Linked DNA regions of Notamacropus eugenii. Each later gene encodes a partner of the first gene's protein in a complex. Links are inferred from orthologs where the notes say so. Each region holds a gene or a part of one and is shown on either strand. Other genes may lie near its edges.

Region 1 (7,932 bases):
TCTTTACCACTATATCAGCCCTGAGACTACAGTATTATTCATGTTATCAACTGTTGACATTAACTTATTAACTTATATAGTGTTTTAAGGGCCTTGTTTATGCCTTCACAACAGTATAACGCATAGCCCTATACCATGCAATTAGGAGTAACAAGTGCTTCTTGGTGATGACACAACACAGAAGAAACTGAAGCCTAAGTCACGTATCTACCATATCAAATTGTGGTAGTCGGAAAACTGAATTTTAATCCTGGGCAACAATGTTGGTCTTATGCAGACAGCTAGGTAGCACAGCAGATAGAGTATTAGATTTGGAGTTAGGAAGTTGAGTTTGAATCCTGACAATGGCACACAATAGCTATGTGACATTGTTCAAGTCACTTGACATCTCATCATCCTGGTTTCCTCATCTGTAAAATGTGATTAATAATAGTACCTACCTCTCAGGTTTGTTGTGAGAATCAGATTAGCTAATACATGTAAGTGCTAACTATCGGGCAGGTAGGTGGCACAGTGGATGAGAAACTAAGGCCAAGAGAAGTTCCAGTTGGGCAATGCAGCATCTTCCCTCCTTCCTTCCTTCCTTCTTCCTCCTCTCCTGAGTCTCCTTCCCCTCCCCTCCAAGTGAATGTAAATAGTAATTGTTTCTGTTTTGGCCAGAAACCCTGAGCATCTTCCCCTCCCAGACTGATTTTTTTTTTTTACTAGGTTAAAGGAACCATTCTCTGCGTTATTTCTTTCCTAGCCTTAATCACTGAATGGGTGTTGCCTCAGTCAAACTGAGACCTATTAAAAACCTTGCTTAAAAAGGTCAAGGTTTGGGGCAGCTAGGTGGCACACTGAATAGAGCACTGGCCCTGGAGTCCGGAAGACCTGAGTTCAAATGTGATCTCAGACACTTGATACTTAATAGACCTTGGGCAAGTCACTTAACCCCAATTGCCTTGCCTACCCCCATCTAAAAAAGCAACAACAACAACAAAAAAAAAGGCCAAGATTTCCCAGTTCATTCAGGGCCATCTCCAGTTATGATCTTATCTTGTCACTGGACCTAGATGGCTGCAGAGGAGAAGGTAAGGCTAGTGATTATGCATATCCTTCTCTCACTTAAATCCAATTCACTTGCATGTCATGGCATCACCTCCCTAATGTCATGGTCCTCTTCGAGAATGAAGAACAAACAATAACAATGACAAGTATGAAATGTCCAATATTCAAGTGGTGATGTGGGATTGCCTCTCAGGGGAGAAACTGGAAATAGATATACAGATCTGTGAGTCATTGACATAAAGATAAATAAACTCACAGAAACTGATGACATCTCTGGGAGAGAATGTAAAGAAAGGACTAGGACACTTGGGAATAACCCATGGTTAGGGGACATCGATGATACTGTGGATAGAGCAGCAGGCTTGGAGTCAGGAAGACCTGAGTTCAAATCTGACCTCAGACACTTACTGTGTGATGCTGGGCAAGTCACTTAACTTCTGCTTGCCTCAGTTTCCTCAACTGGAAAGTGGGGATCTCGTTGTAAGGATCACATGAGATAATTGTGAAGTGCTTAGCACAGTGTCTGGCACGTAGTGAGTTCTAAATAAATGTTAGCTATTATTACTTTTATTATGATATGATGAATCAATAAAAGAGACTGAGCAGGATTAATTAGACTAGGGGTCTCAGACCCATCCTCTCCAAGCAGTAAATGGATAGATTAAAGCTGCCTGTGAACTTGTTTTTAAAAATTGTTTTGGTAAGTATTGAGTTGAATTGAATTGAATTATATTGAAATAGGATTGATTTCCTTTGTAATCTATGTATTTTGGTTTGTAAGCCTAAAAACATTAGTCTAAGAAGGGATGTATAGGCTTTATTAACTGCCAAATGGGTCCACAACACAAAAAAGGTAAAATACCCCTGGTTAAAGAGGAAGAGAATAGGGAGAGAATAGCGTCATAAAAACCAAGAGAAGAGGGAGAGAGTGATCCGCAATATCAAATGGAGCAGATTAATTAAGAAGGTTTGAGGACTGAAAAAAGACTGTCATATTTGACAATTAAGATAGCACTGTTAACTTGTAAAGAATGGTTCCAGTCCAGTAATGAAGTTGGAAGCCAGAATGTTAAGGGTCTAGAAGTGAGTAAACAGAAGAAATAAAGATTTCGAGTGGAGTCAGATTTTTCAATGAGTTTGCTGAGTAAAGGCGGGAAGATAAAGGACTGAGGGGATGGTAGAGTCTAGTGAAGATTTAAGGATGGGAGAGACTAGTAGGTTTGAAGGTAATAGGTGCCTCCCTTAGCACCCAGCAAGTAGAGACATTGAGCTTTGATTGTGAGTTCAGCCCTGTTTTGATACTTTGACCAGTAAGAAATTCAAACCCATACATTTCTTAAACTTTCCCCTTTTCCATTCTCTGCCTTCCCTTTTCTCATCTAAATTTCTTTTGGCTTCTATATACCAAGAGGTCTAGGTCTATGAATCAGAAACACTAGATCTGAATCCTGAAGATGCCAGTTACTAGAGGGGTAACCTCAGATAAGTCACTTTACTCTGGGTCTGTTTCCTCATCTGTAAAATGAATGAATTTCTGTAGTCACTCACTCTGCAGTGATCTCTGAAATCCCTTTCAGGTGTAAATCCTCTTGGTGCCAATGCAGTCACAGTGAGAAGGAGTGGGGATCAGCATCACAGGGATGCTGAAGTCAGACTTAGGGACAAATTGAACTTTCTTTTTCCTTCTGTACTCCCTTGAAGGCAACCTACCTCTTTCTGCAAGAGTGGGTTGGTCTTTTTGTTTTGGATCTGGAAGATGGGGGGTTTGGAGTGTTGGAGTTAAGTCATTTAGGACAATACAGTTGAAGGCTAGGGTTTTAAAGAATGGGCTATGAGTAGCTGGGGTCCATTGTGTTAAGGTATCCAGGATGGAGCATGAAAAAGGTCAGAGATTGGAGTGGTCTAATTTGGGAAACTGCATTGTCAGATGGGGTTATGATCTGCAATGTTTATATATTGGGATTGGGATGTTGAAGTTAGGGTGTATAGTGTTAAATGTCAGAGGTAGGAGCTGGGGAGTTCAACTGTCTGAAGTTGGAGTCTTGTCATTCTAGGGCAGTTGGAATGTTAAGGTTCCAGTGTTAAGATCAGGGTTTAAAGTATTGTCTATTAGCCACTGGAGTGGAATTCAAGTGTGTCATGTCAGAGTTGAACTTTGTGTATGGGAAGTTTAAAGTGATTAAATATTGAATTGTTGGAGGCTCTAGAGTTGGGGTTTGAAATGTTGGTCCTGAGGTGCCATACCCTGAGGTACTGGAAGACTGAAGTGTTATGTTTGGGGAAAAGTTGGATTGGGATGTTGCAGGTTTGAGGTTAGTGTTAAGGTTTGGCATGTTGGATGTTGTGGTGAAGTTTGGAGGTGCAGGGATGTCAAGAGTTTTTCTTTGGAACTTCTGCAGTATTGGAGTATCAGGAGTCTGAAGGAGTATTAAAGGCTGGGGGGGGGCGGTCTGAGTTTTGGCATTAGAAATTCAAAGATGAGGTTTAGGAACTTGGGTACTTTGGGTTAAAGATGTTTGGGACTTGAGAAAATTGGAGGGGTTGAATTGTTGGGATGCTGCTTAGTTTAGGGGTTGGGGTGTTGGTGTGCAGTATGGTTGTTGTGTAGATTTGGGGACTGGAGTGTTGGGAATCTGGGGGTAGGGGGGTGGAACTGAAGAATTTGATGGGTTGGGGTTGTAGATCTGGGGTCCGGGAAGTTTGGGGGTTGGAGACAGGTGTCTAGGGACAGCCTGAACATCTTGGGAGAGAGGAATTTCAGAGGGTCCTGAGCTCCTTCCAGGACAAGATCTTAGGGAGGGGGTGGGGAGGAAAGGAGCAGGGCATCCAACATGGCTGCACCTCAACCCCCTTCTCCCAGCTCCCCCCCTCCCCTCCCCACTCCCCCGCCCGGCCTGGCCCACGGGTGCCCGGATGTGGGTGACGCGCGGCCGCCATCTTCCCGTCCCCAGGCTCGGCAGCACCATTCGGAGCCAGTGCGAGCCGGAGCCGCCGCCGCCGCTGTCCCCGCCCGCCCGCGCGCCCGCCCGCCCCCGCCATGTGAGTCTGCACCGCCCGGCGCCTGGCGCCGTCCCCGGGGCTACGGTGGGCCCCCATGCACTGCCCGGAGCCGTCCTCCCGCTGTCACTGCGTCCTCCTCCTCCTCCTCCCTTCTCCCTGCAGCCGCCCTCCTGGCCGTTCCCACCCTGGTTGCCCGGGCGCCCTCTGGGAACTGGGCCCGGTCGTGCCGCAGGGAGGTGCGAGCCCTGGGCCGCAGCCTCCGGCCCCGCCGCCGCCCCGTCCCGCCCGTCCCTGCATTGTCCGTTCTGTCCCCCCTGGCTCGGCAGGCCGCGGGGGCGTCGCTTTTGCTTTTAGAGGAGGGGCTGGGCTGGGGCTGCCCGGGCCTCCGGAGAGTGGGGGACGAGGAGCTAAAAATACCCGCGCCCCAGGGGTGCCCGGGGGCTGCAGGGCCGCGGTGCGGTGGGAGCGGAGACCGAGATGGGGCGCCCCGAGCCCAGCCAACCCGACCCACCCCTGGAGATTGTCTGTCACTAGCCCTGGCACGGTGGACCCCGGCGTCTTTGCCTCACATGCCTGCCCCGGCCGCCCCGCAAAGCCTCACTGGTCTTGGCAGCCTCCACCAACCTACCCCCCAACCCCCCGACCCGAGGATTAGGGGCCTGTCCCCAGTCCTCAGGCTGCCAGGGGCCCTGAGAGGAGGAGGTGAGGAGTCTCACTACCACGGTGCTCGAGCCCAATCCCTCGTTCTTCAGGGGGAAACTGGGGGCCCGGAGAGGAGACTCAGACTCAGAATGAGTCTGGAAGGGCTTGCCTGAGGTCTTCTCTTTGGGGGGAGAGCTGGGGACCCGGGAGAGGGGAGGCTTGGCAGAGTCTGCTGTGAAGGGCTGGATGTCCTTGTGTCAAGACACTTTTGCCACTTACACCCTCAGGTCTGCTCCTGCTACTGCCATGCCCCCTGCTGCCCCAGCAGGAGAAGGGGGCCCCCCTGCTGCCCCCCCAAACCTCACTAGCAACAGGAGGCTGCAGCAAACCCAGGCCCAGGTGGATGAGGTGAGCGGAGAAATGAAAGGAAGGGAAGGGGGTAAGGACGGTTGGCCTCGTGATCAGTACCATGGACAGCTCACTGGTGTGTGCCTCGAGATAGTACATTGGGGTGGGAGAGAGGTTAGGGTAAGAGGCACAAATGTTTCGTGTCAGCAGTGTTGGACAGCGACCTGTGTCACTGTTGTCATGCCCCTGGCCACCTGGTAAGTTAGTTGGCGTTGTTCCTTTGCTTTACCCTTTGAGGTCTGAGCCTGTTGTGTCGGGCTGTTGTACATTAGGCATGTTGGAGGTTTGTAGGTGGTGGGTAAGTCTCATTGTTTGTTTTATGCCTTTCTGTGTAAAGGGGAGGTTTCTGACCTACACGCAGTGTGTCAGTGAGTTCTGCTAGTATGTCTAAGGCATGTACCTGGATTATCTGCTGGCATGCCCTTGCTTTGTGTCCCTAGTGGGTCCTGTGTATGCATTATGCCTTAAGCTTGTGTCCCTGGAAGTACTTACTCTTGTGTGTCTGACAGCTCCTGTACATTAGGTTAGTTAGTCCAAGGTTTGTGTCCCAGTATATGTCAGATGTATGTCCTTGGGGGGGTTGTCCTATTTGTGTGATGCTTGAAGCTTTTTCCTGGCATAGTTTGTGACATATCTTTGGTATGTTGCTTATGTGAATCTGTGGCATAAACATGTCATCACTTTCGCCTTCCATTGTCTAGGTGGTGGATATCATGCGGGTGAATGTGGACAAGGTCCTAGAGCGGGACCAGAAGTTATCAGAACTAGATGACCGTGCAGATGCCCTCCAGGCTGGGGCTTCCCAGTTTGAGACAAGTGCTGCTAAGCTCAAGCGTAAATACTGGTGGAAAAACCTCAAAGTAAGGAGGCTGGAAGAGGGCATAAGGGAGGTTCTAGAAGGTGTGTTAGCTAGGAGAGGAGACTGAAGGAATGGGGAAAAGTGTTCTGTAGGCCTGATCAACCCTAAATCAAAACTGAGTGACCTTGGGTAAGTCACTTCTTTCTGGACTTCAGTTCTTCCTCTTTAAAATGAAGGGGCTATCTTAGGTGGTCCCTAAGGTTCCCTTCCCCCACCCCATATACTGTAGTTTTTCAGGAAATGGCTTGGAGGGTGGGAAGTAGGCAGAGCTTGATACTCTGACCTTTTCCCCTACTAACCTGATTATCACCCCCCCATCCCTCTTCTTTCTTTCCTGTTCTCCTTCCTCTCCCTTTCATCTCTCTTTTCTCTTCCTTTCCCCTTTTCTTCTTTTCCTCATCCTCTCTCTACCTTCTCATCTCACCTTTTTTTCTCCCTTCCCTTCCCTCTTTCCTTCCTTCTTTCCACCCCACCCTCCCAGATGATGATTATCCTTGGAGTGATATGCGCCATCATCCTCATCCTCATCATTGGTGAGTGGGGAATTGAGGGAGGAGGTTCAGATACTATGGCCTAGGAGGAAAAAGAAACAGTTCCTTTCCATCTGCCCCTTGTAGGATCATTGGGTCCCACCAGCATCCTCAGAACTTACCCTCCTAACTAAGGCTGATGAAATTCCATCTGAGGGGGGGAGGCTGGGTAGAACTGAGGAGGGCTAAATGTAGGTGAGAGTTCCTCCAACTGGGGAGATATGGACCAAATCTGACCCTAACACTCTTTGGGTCTCTCCACAGTTTATTTCAGCACCTAAGCCCACAGCAGGAGCTGCCCCTGCCCGGGAGAGGGCCCCCTTCCCTTCATGGCTCTCCCTCTCTCAGCCATATCTTCCAGCCCCTTCTCCTGTCCCACCTCCGGTGTGTCTGCGTGTGTATCCCCCCTTGTAAATAGCCAGCTGTTATTTATACATATATAATATTATATATATTTGGTCTGTTTGTAGTTTTATTACTAGAAGATTTTTTCTGGTTGTTCTTAACTTCTCTCCTCTGCCCATCATCCTTTTTTTTCCCCTAACTCCTCATTCCTCTCCTTTTTTTTTGACCCACAGTCCCCTCATGTGCATTTGCTATGCAACATTCTCTATTCTTCTCCTTCCATCTTCCTTTTTGCCTGGATTTAGCTATTCATCTCTCCCACCCATCTCTCTCCTCCCAGGAGCCTGGGGCACCCCCTTATTTATGGACTATCCAATCATTATGGACTGTGACAAAGATTCCCTTAGCCACCTTTCCCTCCCCTATGTCTCCTGGGAGCTCTGAGCACTTAAATTAGCATGTCATTTACATAACCACACCCTTTTTGGTTTGCTTTTCAGTCATTCCTGCCTCCTGACTTGTATTGGGCCTCCTCACCTATTACTAAACACACCTATGGGTCCTTCAATTTTACCCTTATTTGCACGACATTTACATAAGTGAGGGGTCCTTTGCTTTTAACACATAGGGGCCTGTGGCCTCCCCCCCATTCCATTTTTTTCACCATCCATTTCCTTCTAACTCTTGTCTGTCATCATCCTTTCCCAATTCCTCCTTCCCATAAATGCCTCCCCAACTCTCAACCCCACAGCTGGTATGTAAGTGTCTTAAAGTTAAATGTTTTGATGGACCAATAATTCTGCCACTTGGGGGTCTCCACATTCCTACTCCCCATATTTGGTAGGGGGGCTCACTGACATTCTCAAAAGGGTCCCCCTCACCTGCCCCTCCCACCCCAGCTGGGATGAATTGGGGAACCCTGCTACATTCCGATTCTTATCTAGGAGGGGAGGCCACCAGCCAACAGGGGCTGTCACTGCCGTGGGGAGTCTGGTAAGGGGGCTGAGGAACACCTCACAAGTCCTCCATGGACCTCCTCCCCTCTGAGCCACCTCCTTGTGGGGAACAGAGCTGATAGCCCACCCTGGGGTTCTGGGG
Region 2 (7,393 bases), about 1.3 Mb from region 1:
TCTAATGAAGCCTCAGACCCCACTAGCTGTGTGACCCTGGGCATCATTGTAACAAGCTTTGCACACCTTAAAGCACTATGTGTTAGTTAATATCTTTTTCATTATTACTCTAGGAGATTAAATTATAGAGCAGCAGAAGCAGTCCACAGTACAGCACACATATCGGGACCAAAAAGGAAAACAAAACATTTGCACGGAGGAAAGCACTTGAGGAAACTAAAAAAATTACAAGCCTGGTATTATTACCACTTCGTTTGAAAACCTCCGTATTGGAGTTTTTCCTTTGAGTCTGACAACAAATCACCCCCACGATGAATGATACAAATTACCTGCCCTCCTTCCACTCTTCTTCACTCCCCTCCACCCATTCTCACCCCAAATCAAATTTTTTGCCCCCAAATTATCTAGTTACCATTTTTCTCGGTATTTCGGAAGGCAGAGAAAACAGATAAGATAGATGGGTTAACAGCACTGTAGATTTTGACTCGGAAGCAAATAGAGTCAAATACATAGTAGTGTCCAATCTCAAGTGACTGGAGGAAAAGTATAATGCTTTGGGTCAGAAAGGACAAAGGTGGAAGGCTGACATTAGGGACTCCCAAAGTGGAGAAGGTGCTTTAGAACAACTTCACCTATTACGAGGGCCAGTGGTCAGCCAGTCAATCAGCCTAGGCAATCATTCTTCATGATTTCCGCCCTCTCTACCCACCATCGTTGTAGCTAGTTCTCCTCTCCTCTTTATCTGTCCGCTCCCCTCAGAGCAGTAAATGAGAGCTGGACTCCAGGGCAAAAGGTTGGTAGTCCGCACACTGTTTCCTGCCTCAAATCCCCCAATTGCCACTCCACCCCTAGGACCGCAGGTTTCTAGGCCATCTCGGGGCTCACCGAATCTTAGGAGTAAAGGATGTTAGGGCTGGAAGGGTCCTTAGAAATGATAAACCCAGTATCCATATTACAGAGTGAGGGTCCCTGGGGCGAAGTGACTTTCATAACAGCCCAGCGACAGAACCGGATTAGCATCTCTCTTCGTGCCTCACCATTGAAGCCAATTACTGCTTCTAGCTCCAGTCCAAGCACCTCGGATTCTGGCGGAGTAGTGGAATCCGCCATCGCCGCAGCACCGCTCGCCTTCTTCGCTGAAACTCACTGCCCAGCACTCCGCGTCCCTCTGTCGCGATGGCAACCAACCAGCAGCTGCGCTTGCGTACAAAGCCTCCTGCACATCTCTGGTCCTAGGAAAGGGCTCGTTCGTCCGTGGGACTGGGAGGAATCAGTCCCAGTTCCGAATTTTTCCCAAGTACAAATTTTAACCTTCATTTTTTTTTTACAAGTTTGAGCTCCAAATTCTCTCCGATCCCTCCTTTTCCTCACAATTTGATAAAGATAATAGATGCATTTGCAGGTTTAGAAAACATATTTCTATATTAGCCATTGTGTAGAAGAAAACACAGACGAAAACACAAGAAAAATAAAGAAAGTAAAAAAAATGTGCATTCAGATTCCATCAGTTCTTCCTCTGGGAAGAGATAGCATTTTTCATCATAGGTTCTTCAGAGTTATCTTGGATCTTTGCATTGCTAAGTCATTCCCAGTTGTACAATATTCCGGTTAGTGTATACAATGTTCTTCTGGTTCTGCTGACTTCACTTTGCATCAGTTCATGCCTTTCCAGGTTTTTCTGAAAGCATCCTGTTAATCATTTCTTATTGCATAATAGTATTCTGTCACAATCATATATCACAACTTGTTCCAGCCTTTTTCCAATTGATGGGTGTCTCCTCAACTTCCAGTTGTTTGCCACCACTAAAAGAGCTGCTATAAATATTTTTGTACATGTAGGAAAAGTTGGCCTGAGAATACAGCTGCCTTTTGAAGATGTGATACAAAACCCAGTTTGTAAATGTAAGGGCAGGTTGAGGAAAGAATAGAGTGAGCTACTATGTCCACTTTCGAAGTAGGGCTAAGAGGCTGATATCTTCTTGTTTCATTAGTACGGTTGTTTGGACCTATATGGAGTGGGTATCCCCTGTAGGAATCTGGTATTCTTCTGCTACCTTGACTTAGCTTTTGACTTTTCCTTCTCAGTCTCCTCCTTCTAGAGTCTTGACCCCAGAGTCCCGCCTCCATCTTTTGCTGTAACCCTTATAAGCCCTAACTGAACGTGGCCAATCGTATTGGTAACAGGCCTCCTACGGGTCATGGTTCATTGGCCCTGAGCATTAGGATGGCTCTGTCTCCCTCTGTGGCTAAGGTGTGAGCTGCTGAGCACTGCGTTGCCCCATCTGATATGGCTCTGGATTGGGCTGTCTGGGACCTGATCAGCTTGGGTACTGGTTTGGCTCTGTTCTCTACTATAGAATCGTAAGAGAGGGCTGGCTGCCTGAGCTTGATGCTTCCTGGGTGCTGATCTCATCCTATATCTGGATAGAGTTCAGGCACTGGCTATCCAGCATGGTATTGCCTGGATACTTGGCTGGTCCTATCTTTTGCCATGGAGTGGACTGCCTGGGCACTATGCAACCTGTGTGTTACATTGCCTAGGTGTTGATGTGGTCTTGTGGCTCCAGGCTGGTTTTGTGCTTTATCTTGTGACTCTTCTGGTTTACCTCTGCTCAGTGGTTTATAAAGTCATTTCTCTTAGCTTTCCTTTATCATTGTTCTATTTCCTTTTTAGAGCTTTACTAGAGTGTTGATGGGAATGTATGCTCCCTATGGCCTATCATGTTGCCATCTAAGCTGGCTATACAATTTATCTACAGCATAAGAAATGTTGGTGTGCTATACAGAGCATGCTTATATATTTTGCACCTGGTTTCTGACCTTCTGACCATATGGAAATGGGAGAAGCTGGTTGCTGGCCATGAAAGAATAAAGGGCTTACAGAGATGGAAGGACTGATGATTTTGGTGTTGCTAAGTCAGACCTGAGTAGATTTACAAAAAGAAAGACCCAGTCCTTCATTTTTTCCTTTTCTTTCAGCTTTGAGGAAGCAGGATTAATTTGAAGAAAAAGTCCAAATTCTCTAAATCCTTACAATAAGTTCAAGAAGTTCTTCTGGCCAAGGGGCCTCTAGCTAGGGCGGTGGAGGCAGAAGATCTAGATTGAGACTAAGGACTTTGCTCTGTCCACCAAAACCATTCCTTCTCAGGGTGTTAGCTATCTCTTCTCCAGGCACTCAGATCTCTGATTCTGTCCAGCCCAGTATTTTTATTCAGGCCTCAGAGCATTTGACCAAATGCTTCAGCTAAATGAAAAAAATTTCCTATTGAAAATATATGTAGGAGTTTTCACACCGAGAAGATGGAGTTATGTTTTCACTTGATAAACGTGTGAATATGACTAGTTTCTAAATTTTATGTATATGAGACACTTTTAAGTTTAACATAAGTCAAATCTATCAAAAGCCATTTTAGCCCATATTTTAGTCAAATAGAATTAAACATATATGACAATTTTAGAACAACACAAAAAATCCTAAATATACAATGAAAATGTAGTGCACTCATCAACTGAAAAAATGTTATAATTTTTGTATCTGTAATCAATCATCTGTAAAGGTGAGAGTTATTAAGTTGGCAGATCAATTGCCTCACTCCCACTAAGAGGCAGATAAAAGTTTAATCAGGTGCAAATATGTCATGTTTAATAAAAAGTAAGAACGTGTCTCCTCCTTAGTTCACCAATCACCAACAAAGCTTGGGTATTCTGTTTAGATTAGCTGAAGCACTTGGTCATACCCACATTTTTAACATGAATATTTACAACTTGGAAACCTCACAAATCAGGGCTTGGTTTATTGTTTTGTTGATGTTAAGATGGAGAAAAATGTTAATAATGAAGATTAAACTTAAATGGATAAATAAAAAATAATATCTAACATTTATATAGCACCTACCTACTATCCCCCAGGCACTGTGTTATAAGTACTTTACAATTATAATCTCATTCGATCCTCACAATAACCCAGGGAGGTAGATGTTATTATTTGCCCCCTTTTTATAGAGGAGGTAACTGGAGTTCAGTGACTTGCCCAGGGGCACACAGCTACCTTATGTCTGAGGGCGAATTTGAACTCAGGTCTTCCTGGCTCCCGACCCAGCACTCTAGGCACTGCGCCGCCTATCGGCCGGTTTCCTGAATTACCTTTCCATTGCTTTTTTAAAATTCCCTTTCTGCTGGTGTAGCACAAAGGGCCATGGATCTCACGTTTAGAATCCCAGCTCCACCACTTTAAAACCGAGAAGCCGGACAGAGCACTTCCGCTTTCTGGGCGTCAGTTTTCTCATCTCTAAAAGGAGGAGTCATGATTTCTTAGGCCCTTTCCTGGTAAGGACTTCTCTCTCCCAGGCCCTTCCGGTTCCCCTCCCCACTTCCGGCTCCGTCCCGCCCCCTTGTGGCGCCTCTGGGAGAACACACTCTCGCTTCCTCCTTAGCGCTGGCTTCGCCTGTAGGCGACTGAGCCACTTGGTCTGCCGTAGTTGGAGGCAGCAACCCGGAAGTTTTGCGGGAAGCGGCAGAGGCAGCGTCATGGCGCCGGACCCCTGGTGAGGCCCGGGCTGAGGGTCCCAGATCAGGCTCCCTGGGAGGGGGCATGTTGGGAGGGGTGGGGCGGAGGTGGGGGGTGGCGGCCAGGCCGGCGCCGGGAGAGGCCCAGGGAGGAGGAACGGGGAGCCGGCGCTGTGAGGGCACAGCTTAGACCGCCGGAACCGAACCGCCTGTGGGAGACTCGAATTGGATTTCATCGTGTTGTTTTCCTACAGCTCTGCCGGTCGGCCACGCCGAGGTGGAATAGTAGCAGTAGTCTTAGTGGTGCACATATGTAGCGCTTGCTGTGTGCCCGGCTCTGTGCTAAGCTCTTTACAAGGGTCTCATTTGCTCCTCTCAGCCACGTTGGGGGTGAGGTGGGGGTCGGGAGGGTGAATATTATTATTAATACGGAGGCTCAGTGACCTGACCGGAGCTAAAAGTGCCTGAAAGCGGATTTGAACTCGGGTCTTCGGGACCTCCCGGCGCCGGGCTCTATCTACTGAGACTAGGTAGCTCTGGATTCAAGCTTTTGGGGTTTGGGGCATGCTCTTTTGCTGGTTCAGGGACCACGGATGAGAACTGCCCCGGGCACCCCTTCACCTCTGCTCTCTTGGTAATCCGATTTTATTCACCCGCACGCTGAGTTAGGGACCTTAATGGACAGATCAGTCAGATAGCACCCTGGCATGGAACAGTCCTGCTCCGTGCCAGGCGCTGTGCTGTGGGCACTGTGCTACAGTGACACAGAGACCAAAATGAAAACAGCCCTTGCTCTCAAGGACCCCACCTGTGCCTGTATAGGTGCAGGTAAAATGTGCAAGTCACCATCGTGGGTTTAGAACTAGAAGGTCTAGTCCTCATTTTATAGATGAGGGAACTGGTCCAGGGAAATGAAGTGACTTGCCCCAGGGCACACAGATAGCCAGTAGTAGGCATGGCGTGTGAACAAAGGTCTTCTGTCTCAGTCTGCAAAGCCAATACACAGTAATCTTAGAGGGGAAGGCTCTAGCTGTAGGACCAGGAAAGGCCTCCTACAGAAGGTAGTTCTTGATCTGAGACTTGAAGGAAGCCAGGGAGTCAGAGATGGGACTGTTTGGTCTTCCAGGTGTGTGGAACAGTCTCTGCAGATGTAAAAGTGAGAAGGCATCTACTGAGGCAGTAACATGGTCACAAATAGGTAAAATACAGGATACAAAGGCAAATGCATATATAGGCAAAACCCAAATTGCTTCATATTTTACCACTTCTTCCCCTGGAAGTCCCCTAAAAAGTAAAAAGTAAAAAGGACATGTAATAGGTACGCAAAACTGGAGTTTGAAACTGAATTAGACACTTATTAAAAACCAGCTAGGTTAACATTCTCATAGGCCTAGAACAGCTGACGTTCTTAATGAATCCTAGACTTAGAAGGCTGAGAATGAAGATGGTCAGGTTTCCCATTTCTGTTCCAGGGACTTAAAGAGTCTACTTTTTGCAAACCTATAGGGGAAAGGTGAGAGCTTACCTGTGAATGGAAGGAAAAGAGGCTAGGGCTAGTTTGAACATTTCTTTCCACTAACCTAGCAAACTGCAAAGGAGATGGGGGTAGGTGGGAGGTCATTTTTAAGTACTCATTCATTCATTCATTGAATAAACACCTATTAAACATTTATTAAGCACCTATTTTGTGCAAGGTGATAGGACTAATCCAAAGTGAGGTAAGGAAGGAGTGATATCCCATAGGAAAGGAAGGTAGATGCATGGAGAACAAATTTGCAATGAGGTTTTTAAGTGTCTTTAAATATTTGTAAGGCTAGATGGAAAGATAAATAAGACTGGGTCCCTGATCTTAAGAAACGTATAATGTAGGGAGAAAGGAAATAAATGTGGATAAATGTAATTTAACAGACATACCAACTCCATGTAGCCAAGACACTGGAGATGTAGATTTTAAAAACAACTATAGTCACATGTTGAAGAGCTTACATGAGGAATTTGGGGCAGGGAGGAATAGGGAGTGTATTAGGATGTATATACAGAGAAGTAAGTATACTATAAGGTAGGGAATGATGAAAACAAATAGTTCACAATAGGGCGCTCTAGAAAAATTTAGTTTAAGTTCAGGGTAATTAAGACACTGTACAGCAGTGTCTATTATTTGAGGACCAGCCTATCTATGGAGAGATTACAAAAAGACTGGCTAACAGGTAGTGAAAATTTTTTTTTTCTGTGCTCTCCTGTGAAATGGACAGGTACATGATGACCCCCAGTCTTGCGTTGCCCTAGTTTAGATTGTTCAGTGACAGAAAGGGGATAGAAAGTGCTAGGAATCATAGTTCTCAAACTACATAATAGTAATAATTAATATTTAAATAGCACTCTAAGATTTACAAAACACCTTATTTATTATTTCATTTGATCCTCGCAGTCACCCTATGGAGGTAGGTTCTGTTAATGTCTCCATTTTTCAGATGAGGAAACTGAGGCTGAGAGGCTAAATGATGTGTCTGGCTTCAAATGGCTAGTAAACATTTGAGTCAGAAGTGGAACTCGTTTTTTTTTTATTCCAACTCTGTGTAATTGTACTTCCTTTTTTACCTCTGCTCCAAAGTCGTGCTCTTTTAAGATGCAGTTTCTTCTACATGAAGGCTTTCCTGATCTTCTCGAATATTAATATCTTTCCTCCCAAACAACCTTGTATTTAACTACTTTGTATATATTTTGTATTCACTTTTATTTATGCTGCATATGTATATTTTTATATATGTACTTCTTTTCCCATTAGAATGTAAACTCCTTGTGAGTAGAGATTGTGTTTTACTGTTACAGCACAGTTCCTGGCACATAGTAGGCACTTAATAAATGTTGATTTGATTGATCCAAGTCT

What was found. Proteins that work in one complex are often made in the same cells at the same time.
Region 2: VAMP2 (region 1) and STX8 share a complex: the UniProt entries of both Homo sapiens proteins name them as parts of the SNARE core complex. The link is inferred for Notamacropus eugenii from reciprocal best matches to the Homo sapiens genes VAMP2 and STX8.

What each region holds. Positions count from the first base shown.
Region 1 is NC_092873.1:77,727,415-77,735,346, forward strand, and holds the start of VAMP2 (vesicle-associated membrane protein 2), read left to right. Parts: upstream 1-4,923; 5' UTR 4,924-4,938; coding exon 4,939-5,100; intron 5,101-5,801; coding exon 5,802-5,960; intron 5,961-6,440; coding exon 6,441-6,492; intron 6,493-6,753; coding exon 6,754-6,770; 3' UTR 6,771-7,932. UniProt on the Homo sapiens protein: Involved in the targeting and/or fusion of transport vesicles to their target membrane. Major SNARE protein of synaptic vesicles which mediates fusion of synaptic vesicles to release neurotransmitters.
Region 2 is NC_092873.1:76,438,468-76,445,860, reverse strand, and holds the start of STX8 (syntaxin-8), read left to right. Parts: upstream 1-4,392; 5' UTR 4,393-4,527; coding exon 4,528-4,544; intron 4,545-7,393. Other genes in the region: CFAP52 (cilia- and flagella-associated protein 52), read right to left, coding at 1,038-1,110. UniProt on the Homo sapiens protein: Vesicle trafficking protein that functions in the early secretory pathway, possibly by mediating retrograde transport from cis-Golgi membranes to the ER.